Caenorhabditis elegans: one gene and its partner. The protein of the gene in region 1 purifies or fractionates together with the protein of each later gene. This does not show direct contact. Each region holds a gene or a part of one and is shown in the gene's direction. Other genes may lie near its edges.

Region 1 (5,219 bases):
GAATCTCTGGCGGTTCTATCTGCACCCAACGCGACAAGCATCACAACAACATTCCGTAGATCATCGGCGACAGCACGGAAAAGTGGCAGTTGACCGTCGAAAAGGGTCCGAACTTGTTGCGGATCCGATCGGATCGATTCGACGAGAAGCGCATAGCTCAGCGCGTCTTCACCCCAATTCGCGATCACTTGCATTAAGGTGTCCGGGGTGTAGCCGTGGATTGTGTGCTGAAAAAATCGATTTATCTTTCAGGTAGGCATGTAGGTAGGTAGGCAGATAGGCAGGTAGGCATGTAGGCATGTAAGCTGACCTATGGACCAGCAGGCAAATATGTAGACAGACAGGCTTTATGCAGACGCATTTTCAGGCAAACATGTAGGAAGGCAGGAAAAAAACAAGCAGGTAGTCGCGGAGGCAGGCGTGTAGGCAAGTAGGCATGTAGGTATGTAGGTTTGTAAGCTTACCTATGAACAATCAGGCAAATATGTAGACAGACAAGCTTTATGCGGACGCATTTTCAGGCATTTTCAGCATCAGACAACAATTTGACAGGCTATTGCGATAGTAGGCAACTAGGTAGGCACATAATCAGATAAGCGTGTAGGCAGGCAGTTTTGGAGGCAGACATGCCTGAAGTTACCTACCTTATAAGTATGAACCGACGGCTCATTATTATCTCTAGCAATCATTGACAATCGGGGACCCGAATAAACCGGACACAAAAAGATATCCCGTCTCTCATCAGTCCATCCCGTATTCGCATTAACCGCCACCTGAATCTCCCGGGTAATCGTCGGATTCGAGGCGCTTTTCAGTTGAACCAAATGCTTCGGAATTCCACCTAAATTCAATGGTTCCTTCGTTGCCACTATTCCGATTGTCGTTTTTTCCGGATCTCCGCGGGTTATTGCAACGAGATCACCTTTTGAATGATCTATACATTGAGGGAATTCCAACGCGTCCAGCGGCCATTCGGTAGAGAGCTTGAACTGAAAATTTAAATTTAAATTTGGGATGAAAAATTCGGAAAAAGGCTCTTTTTTCAGTGTTACCTCTGAAAGCTTGAAATCAAAAAAATTCAGGAAAAGTTTTAAGTATCTTCAATGAAGATTTCAGTTTCTGTACCGTTATCAACCAATTTTCATTTAAAAATTCGATATTGAAAATCAAAAATTACAGTAGCCTTTTAAAGACGCACGCCACTTTCGCAATACTTCTCCTGGCGCGATCAGTAAAAATGTGTGCGCCTTTAAACGATTACGGTAGTATCCAAGCAATTTAAACTTTTTTTTTCCGATTTTCAATGGAAAAAAGTACAAAAAAGATCGCTAGATTCCGAAAAATCACACATTTTACACAAAATCTTCAAAAAATCAGCTTACAAGCTCTGGATTTTGCGGAACTGCGTAGTAAACCCGAACATTTGCAGTGTGCCGGTGCTCGTTGATGCTCTCGATATAGCCAATGTGACCGAGAAGCTGAAAATGTTGAAGATTTGCCTGTTTTGAAGAGATTCTCAGCAAAAAATTTCAGATTTCAGCATTTTTTTCTTTTCTGCCACTCACAGCCAAATGTGTCTTCGTCCACGCAACATTATTGTACGAATTGAGGCGTTGTGCATGATTTGGATGATTTTCCGATATCAGAATTCGATCGCCCGGTGTGAAATACGTCAGGTACTCGTCGTAGCTCGGCGATTCGCCAGCTACTCCGTTCATTTTTGTGAGAAATAATTGAAATAAATAATTTTTTGTTATTCTGCTTTAGTTTTTTGTTTTAGACACGTTTTTCCGTGGTTTTCTAGTATTTTTCCGAGAATAACACGTTTTTATTTGGAAAAACCCTCATTTTTCGAAATATCCTTGTCCGAGAGGAGTACACACCGGGTGGCCGAGTGGGGATTTCTAGTCCCGGGTCGCGCCCGCGAATTCTTCGCTTTGAATTTGAAATTTATTTTTGCTGATTTTCAGTGTTTTTTGCGATTTCCATCGATTTTCCTCATTCAAAAAGTTTTTTTTGACTTAAATTCTGCGATTTTCTCATCTATATTATCGATGTTTCAGTCAACATCCCATCACTTGATGCAATAAACCGATGAAGATCAAAGAAGTGAGTTTTCCCAAGTTTTTCATCGATTTTTCCCTATTTTCAGGTGAGAATCACCGGCTTTCGAAGCTACAAAGACAACACCAATGTGTCGGGCTTCAGTCCACGCTCGAACGTCGTCGTCGGACGAAATGGATCGGGAAAATCCAATTTTTTCCATGGTTAGCCGCATGAATTTCTGCGGAAAAGCTGAAAAATGTCAATTTTCAGCGATTCAATTCGTTCTTTCCGATGAATATGCTCATTTGAAAGAAGAACAACGTCTTGGTCTGCTTCACGAGAGTACCGGACCGAAAGTCGCCCACGCTCGTGTCGAAATCACCTTTGACAACTCGGAAAAGCGTCTAATGGCGTTTGAAAATTCAGAAGTGAAGATTGTTCGTCAAGTTGGAAAGAAAAAGGATCAATATTACATTGATAATAAAATGGTGCCACGTGCCGAGGTATTCCAGCTGTGGAAAACCTCGAGATTTATCGATTTTTCCTCAATTTCAGGTGGTAAATCTCATGGAATCCGCCGGATTTTCTCGCTCAAACCCGTATTACATCGTTAAACAGGGAAAAATCAACGAGTTGGCCACTTCGCCGGACGCTTATAAGCTAAAGCTACTGAGAGAAGTCGCCGGAACACGAGTTTACGATGAAAGAAAGGAAGAAAGTCTGAAAATCCTGAAGGAAACCAGTGCGTACCTGAAAAATAATTGTTTTTTCGGTGAAAACGTTAGAAAAATGATTTTTTTTTGCTGAAAAATGACTGGAAAATCATCAAATTTTCATGGTTTTTGGTGTTAAGTATGCAAAAATTGCACATTTTCAGCAAAACTCTGGTTTTCTTTTGCAAAGTCGCGCAAAAATGACTGGAAATTGTCCAAAAACTCCGAAAGTCAGCATATTTCGACTATTTTCAAAAAAAACTCTCAAAAATTAGTGCATTTTTATTCAAAAAAGTGGAAATTCACCTTTATATATTGATTTTCTATCTGAAAAATGACTGCAAATTGTCAAAAAGCTACGAAAATCACCAAATTTTGACTATTTTCAACAAAAATCGCTTGTTTTTCTGGAAAATGTCAGAATTTATTGAAATTTTCATTCAAAAAAGCTTGAAGTTTACCGATTTTACTGGATTTTTGAAGATTTTTGAAGACAAAAAGTGCTCAAAATCTGGTATTTCGACCGAAAAATTTATCTGGTAAAATATTCAAAAAGCTCAGAAATTTCAAAAAAATTTAGCTAAAAAAACTAAAAAAAAAAAGCTTTTTAAGAGTTTTAAGAAATTTTTCGAAGAAAATAGTTCGAAGAAAATAGGTACGTGAAATTTTATCGATTTTTCTCAAATTTTACAAGAAAAAATATTTGAAAAATCAGAAAGTTAACATTTTTGAAGAAAAAATGCTCAAATCTTGAAATTTTATCGATTTTTCTGCAATTTTACAAAAAAAAATTCAAAAAATCGAAAATTCACCCTTTTTTTTTTGAAGAAAAACAATTATCAAAACCTGAAATTTAATTGATTTTTCTCAAATTTTTCAAAAAAAATGTTTCAAAAATCTGAAATTAACCTTTTTTGAACAAAACAGTGCACAAAATCGGGAATTTTATTGATTTTTCTGCAATTTTACATAAAAAAATGTTTTTAAAAAATCACAAATTTACCCTTTTTTTTGAAGAAAAATTCTCAAATCTTGAAATTTTATCGATTTTTCCTGAATTTCAGAGATGAAAACGGAAAAAATCCAAGGCCTTCTGAAATACATTGACGAACGACTCCAAACTCTTGAAAACGAGAAAGAAGATTTGAAAGAATATCAGAAATTGGATAAAACGAAGCGAAGTGTTGAATATACAATGTATGATAATACAAATAAAGAAGCGATAAAAGAGAAAACAAAGCTTGATGAACAGAAAGTTGAACTGAATCAAAAGGATAATAATGTGAAAAGTCAGTTGAATGATGTTATTGCTGAAATGGCAAAGCTTAAAACTGATAAGAAGAAGCTGGAATCACTTGGAAGAGGACTTCGTGAGGATAAAGAGACACTTCAGGCTGAGGAAACTAAAATGGTTGAGGAGAAAATGACGTTGAAGCTTGAAATTGACTCGTTGAATGAGGAGAATACAAGGTTTTTTTGAGAGAAAATCACTGGCAAAAAAATGCGTATATTTTAATGAAATTGCCACTGCAACTTTTTCCTCACGAGGGACGAGGAAAAGTGGTTTCTAGGCCATGGCCGAGGGGCCGACAAATTTCAGCGGCCATTTATCTTGCTTTGTTTTCCGCGTGTTTTCTTTTGTTTTGCACCAATTTTTCCCGTTTTTTCTTAATAAAACTGATAAATAATAATTTTTTACAGATGCTAAAACAATTTCCAAGTAAAAAAATCATGTATTCAGTGGGCAAGCAGCGGTGAAAGTGGGCATTGTCATATGATGGATTACGGGAATACAAATCCTAAACTTTTTCTGAAACATGATACATATGATGCTTAAATGCTGAGACTACCTGATTTTCATAACGAGACCGCTGAAAAAGTTTTGAGGTTTCCAAAATTCAACTTTTTTGGTGAAAAAGTAGAGATTTTCGTACAAAAAGTTGAATTTTGAAAACCTCAAAACTTTTTCAGCGGTCTCGTTATGAAAATCAGGTAGTTTCAGCATTTAAGCAGCATATGTATCATGTTTCAGAAAAAGTTTAGGTTTTGTATTCCCGTAATCCATCATATTACAATGCCCACTTTCACCGCTGCTTGCCCACTGAATACATAATTTTTTCACTTGGAAATTGTTTTAGCATCTGCAAAAAATATTTATTTATCAGTTTTAATAAGAAAAAACGGGAAAAAGCTGTGAAAAACAAAAGAAAACAGGCGGAAAACAAAGCAAGATAAATGGCCGCTGAAACTTGTCGGCCCCTCGGCCATGGCCTAGAAACCACTTGTCCTCGTCCCTCGTGAGGAAAAAGTTGCAGTGGAAATGTGAATGTTTTACTGAAATTGCTACTTTTAATCTAGTAAATTCCTGGAAAAATTCATTAAAATCTTGGAAAAGCCTGGAAAATGTGCTTATTTTGCTGAAATTATCAATACAAATTTAAAGAAAAAATTCCAATTTTT
Region 2 (4,842 bases), 7.0 Mb from region 1:
CCGTACATTGGACCTATCAACGCTCGGCTGTGGTGTCGATCCAGCAAAAAGATTAGGATTGTCGAAATACAGAGTCATCGCGTATTCGATATTCCAATTAGCTTTTGCCAGGAAGTTGAGAGACACAGCTTCCGTGACCTGAGTCCACTGGACGAACTGCCGGAGCTGGAAATGGTATCAAATAATAATTATGATATCATTATTTAAAACATTTTTCATTTTCTCAAACTGTTTTCTCTCTCTCACTAACAGTTTCTCACACTTTCTCTACAGTCAGCAACTGATGTCTTATCACTAAAAAGGAAGAAATCAGGAATTTCAAAACGAAAAAAATCAATAAAAGTGAGAATTTAAAAAGTGACTTCGATCGGAAATGGGAAACCGTTGATCACAATTAGAACTACTAAAAATTTTAGGATTGAGCGAAAACATTGCTCAGCTTTAAAAAATGAGGAAAATTGATATTTCATAAACCAGCAGCAGTGATTAGATTGTTTGAAGAGACGCAGGAAAATCGCGGGCAAAACGCTCTGCTCGCCAAAGTTGGGTCTCGTTAGGTATTTGGCGGGAAAACCTCGAAATTTAATATTGGAGCGCGTTTCCACGTAGATTTAAAAAAGATACATTTTTCTGCTTTGGGTCTCGCAACGATTTTGAGAAAAGTCAGCTTTCTAGATGAGCTAGAATTTGTCTAGTCAAGAAATAACAAACGAAGCAGCAAGATGTGGCAAAATTAGTTTTTTTTTCGAAATTCCCGCTACAACTCACGATATTATCGTAGTTCTTGGGAAAAATGTCAGAAAGAACAGTGCTTTGAGCTAGAGAACTCGAACTTGCTCGAGATAAATGCTGAAAAAGAGAAAAACGGGAATGGATGACGAATGGAATTTTCACACGCACAAATTTACTGTTTTCTTGTTTTCTACACTTTTTGTGATCAGTTTCCATATCACTCATCTCCACTTCATCGTCTTGTTTCCGTTTACAAACCTTTGTTTTTTGATCGGACTTCAGTCGATTCATTGTGTAGACGTAGTGGTTAGCCTGGAAAATTCATTGTTTTAGTGATTTTAAAATTAAATCTGCGTAATTTCGAAATTGTTAAACGACAAAAAAGATACAACTTTTCGAAACAAAACTGATAAGCAATGCAGTTAATAATTTCAAAAAATAAAGCAATTTAATAACGCAAAGAGAAGAGGGAAGGAAGAAGAAACGAACAACAACGCGGTCGATTAACGAATCAATAGAAAAATACGGGAAAAACTATAAAATGGTGAGCGATAGAGGAAACCACGAGAAAACGCTGCAATGTAATGCAGATGTGACGTCATACACTTTGTTTAGCGGGAAACGGAGTGTCGTATTGATTTCGATTAACGTCGGCGTCTCTCGAAAAGAAAACTGAAGAAAATCAACATAATTTTGAATTCCATTGAAAAGGAATATATTAGAGATAATATTTACTACAGCATCGCTCATTTAAAAAACATTTTTCTGTAACAGAAAGTGAAGTTTTATTGAATTTGTATTATTTTCAATGATTGCAAAGTTTTTTACATATTTTAATATGTATATACAATTTAAAACATGACAATTTTAATTGAGAAAAGCGGAACATTTAAATAATTATACAAAATTGAGAGAAAGCGTGAAAAAGCATTTGAAACAAATTTTGGCGCGCGCTTGAAACATTTAAATCTCGGCGAGACCCGTTTGTTCCCACTGCCCATGCTCCTTTAATACAGTATCTCACACTATTTTCAATTTAATTTCTTTTCTATTTCTCCATTTTCTCCATTTTTTCGACAATTTTTATTGAATTTTTGCTTCCAATTTCAGTAAAATGAGCGGTGATGTGGATTACCCGCAAGGATGTCTTCCAATTCTTAACTCAAATAATGTGACACAACAAATTGAACGCTTACGAGTGAGTTTCAGAAATTTCAACAAAAAAACAACTTATTTTGAATCTAAATTGATGCCTTTAAAGAAGTTGAATATGAGAAATGAATTATTTTTTGATGAAAAGAACGTTAAAAGAAATGATTAAACATTATTTAAAAAAATATATAATTTTCAGAAACTATTTAACTGTCTCCATGACTGCAAAACAAACAATAGCGAAGAAGTATCGTCTCCGAATCGATTCGCAAGGCTTTTCCAACATTTATCACAAGAATGCTTCCTTGACAATTCAAATACAGATTTTCGGATCCTTCTTTCACTTTGTCTCGCGAATATTCTGCGAATCTTCCAGCCAGAGCTACCGACGCCAAGTGTAATGGATTTAAAGGTTAGAATTCAAGTAAATTATTGATTTTTAATGAAATTTTCTGTTTCAGGAGGTTTATATCTACCTTTTCCGTACCATGCGAGGACTCGGAGACGTTACTCAGGATAGTCCGAAGTTTAAAAATTACTTCTCGTTGGTTGAGGTTTGCTGTAGAAATTCTAGCACCAAAAAATAATTATTTATATTCAGACAATGGAGAAAATCATTCCACCAATCATCGAAATGAAGGATCACGATGATAAAGAAGCAACTCCGGTGTTCCGAGCGTTGATCAAGGATATTCTGGCGATTCCGTGTGGAAAAGGATGGAATCAGAATCTGAAAAAAGAAGCGCGACTTTTGAAAATTCAAGAAAATGACGATGATTCAATGAATGATGACGAAGAAGATGAGAATGCCGCCGAAAAAATTCGGAAATCTTTAATTCAAATTGCAACGACAGTGATTACTAATTTGGATTTTGTTCAGAACGAGTGCCTTGATGTTTTGTTTTATCATATTATTAATCCACAGAGAGTAAGTTTTGTGGAATTAAATAGGGAATTAGCGTTGAAAACAAAAAATAGCCCCAGAATATTTAAATTTATGAATATGTCCCTTGAAATCGGCCGAAAATTTTAAAAAATCATTTTTTTTCCCTATTCCGCGTATTTTGTCGTTTATTCTAATGCTTATTTTGTTGATTTGCATATTTTCATGTCTACAAGAAAATTTTTTTCAAAATTTTCAAATTATGGATTCCGTCTGATCGAAAAGTGCGTGAATCAACAAAAACAGAAGGAATAAACGACAAAAACTTGCGAAATGTACAATTAATTTCATAAAAAATACCATCTTTTAATCACTACGACACGAAAATAACGGCGTAATTTAAGGTTGTAACTGAATTTAGAATTTATTGCAATTATTGAATGATTTTTCAAAAACCGTTATTTAAAGTTTTTGGAAAAAAAATTTTAATGCAAAACTATGAGAAAAGTATGAAAAATTCTCTTATAGAATACCCTTTCAGAATATATTTCCAACAAAAAACTTCAATTTCAGAGCAATTTCGCAGAAGCACGTGCACTGGCAGAAGATATCATCCGATCCTGCAGTGATAATGAGTCAGACACTTTAGCAAATTCCATTCGAAGTACAATGACAGCAGCCGCAAAAGAAGGGAAACTTCCAGAAGAATTCGAGTTAACTGGTTCCAGTAATCGAAGTAAATTCTTTGAAGTACTCCGTTATCTTCACTACGTATCATTTGATTTGGTGTCTGGCGCTATTCAAGAACTCAAATTTTGGCTTCAGGTAGGACAATTGAAAAAAGGAACTTAGTAGAGTACTCATCAAATCATTTTTCAGTCAGAAAATGAGCAGTACCGAAAAGAAGCAGTGACAGTCGTTGGAATGTTGACACGTGACAAACATTGTCAATTCGGAATGGATTCAAATGATCCAACATGGAGTGCTTTTTTGAATGCGTTAGTTTTTTAATTGTAATTAAATTATTTTGTCGAATTTTTTGTGATTTTTTTCAGGTCTATCGATCAAGATGATAGTGTTCGACACGAATTTGTGCAACAATCGAAAGATATTCTAATTTCGAATCATTCACATCTCAGGGGACAGATTATTAGTAGGTTTTCGTGAAATAAAAACTATTTTTTCTCATATTGGATAAAAGCTAAAATTGAATTTTCACGGTTTTGAAAGTTGGTTTTTTAAAAAATGTTTTTTCATGTTTTTTAGTGAAATTTTCCAAATTCAAGAAAATTTTGAATTTTTCTAAAGTAAAATCCCCATTTTCAGATAGCCTGCTACGTCTCTCCGTTGATTTAAATGACGATATTCGACGAGATGTTGTAACTGGAGTTACTGAAGTGGCAAAAACGAAATTAGAAGTTATTAGTGATAAAATGCTAAAGGCCTGTGCCGAGCGGATGAAGGATAAAAAGGTTTTTTATATTAAAAAATCTAATTAAAAAAGCGAAAACCCTAAAAATTCCAGCCAAAAGTCCGAATTCAAGCGATCAAACGTCTAATGGATCTTTATAATCATGTGATGACGTCATCACCTCAACCATTTTTCTCAAAAGATGGAAGTTGTGCACCAAAAGATTCAAAAGAAGCGACATTATCATATACTGAATCAGAAAAAGAATCAGTTCGATTCATTTCAACGGCAGTTTTTAATGTTTATAGATTGACACAAAGATTGCCAGCTTATCACGATGCAAGAGCAATTATCGAAAGATATTTCCAATTATATCTTGTTCCGTACAAAGTTGAACCAAAATTGAGAGTTCGATTAATGGCGGATTTATTCAGAAATCTTGATGATATTGGATGCATGTACGTTGATATTTTTAGAATTTCTAAAAAAAATTTCGTTCTAAAACTATCGAAAATAATTCTAACAGTGAAAAAATGGGTTTTTACGGGATTTTTTTTGTTGCAAAAACTAATCCGAATTAATTTTGAATTGCCTAAAGAAGGAAGTTTTCGATTTTTCTATTATCCGAAAAAATCAATATTTCATCAAATTTTGTTTATCTCGA

What was found.
Region 2: the proteins of smc-3 (region 1) and evl-14 fractionate together in Caenorhabditis elegans (co-fractionation; one large-scale study listed by BioGRID). This does not show direct contact.

Annotation. Positions count from the first base shown.
Region 1 is NC_003281.10:11,288,848-11,294,066, forward strand, and holds the start of smc-3 (Structural maintenance of chromosomes protein 3), read left to right. Parts: upstream 1-2,056; 5' UTR 2,057-2,094; coding exon 2,095-2,109; intron 2,110-2,152; coding exon 2,153-2,267; intron 2,268-2,316; coding exon 2,317-2,549; intron 2,550-2,601; coding exon 2,602-2,788; intron 2,789-3,823; coding exon 3,824-4,229; intron 4,230-5,219. Other genes in the region: mib-1 (RING-type domain-containing protein), read right to left, coding at 1-227, 645-989, 1,383-1,478, 1,566-1,718. UniProt on the Caenorhabditis elegans protein: Involved in chromosome cohesion during cell cycle and in DNA repair. Involved in the repair of double strand breaks during mitosis and meiosis. Required for chromosome segregation during mitosis. Central component of cohesin complex.
Region 2 is NC_003281.10:4,310,129-4,314,970, reverse strand, and holds the start of evl-14 (Cnd1 domain-containing protein), read left to right. Parts: upstream 1-1,842; 5' UTR 1,843-1,846; coding exon 1,847-1,930; intron 1,931-2,083; coding exon 2,084-2,296; intron 2,297-2,345; coding exon 2,346-2,438; intron 2,439-2,485; coding exon 2,486-2,812; intron 2,813-3,340; coding exon 3,341-3,592; intron 3,593-3,646; coding exon 3,647-3,765; intron 3,766-3,822; coding exon 3,823-3,920; intron 3,921-4,093; coding exon 4,094-4,239; intron 4,240-4,292; coding exon 4,293-4,636; intron 4,637-4,842. Other genes in the region: dcn-1 (Defective in cullin neddylation protein 1), read right to left, coding at 7-165, 991-1,023.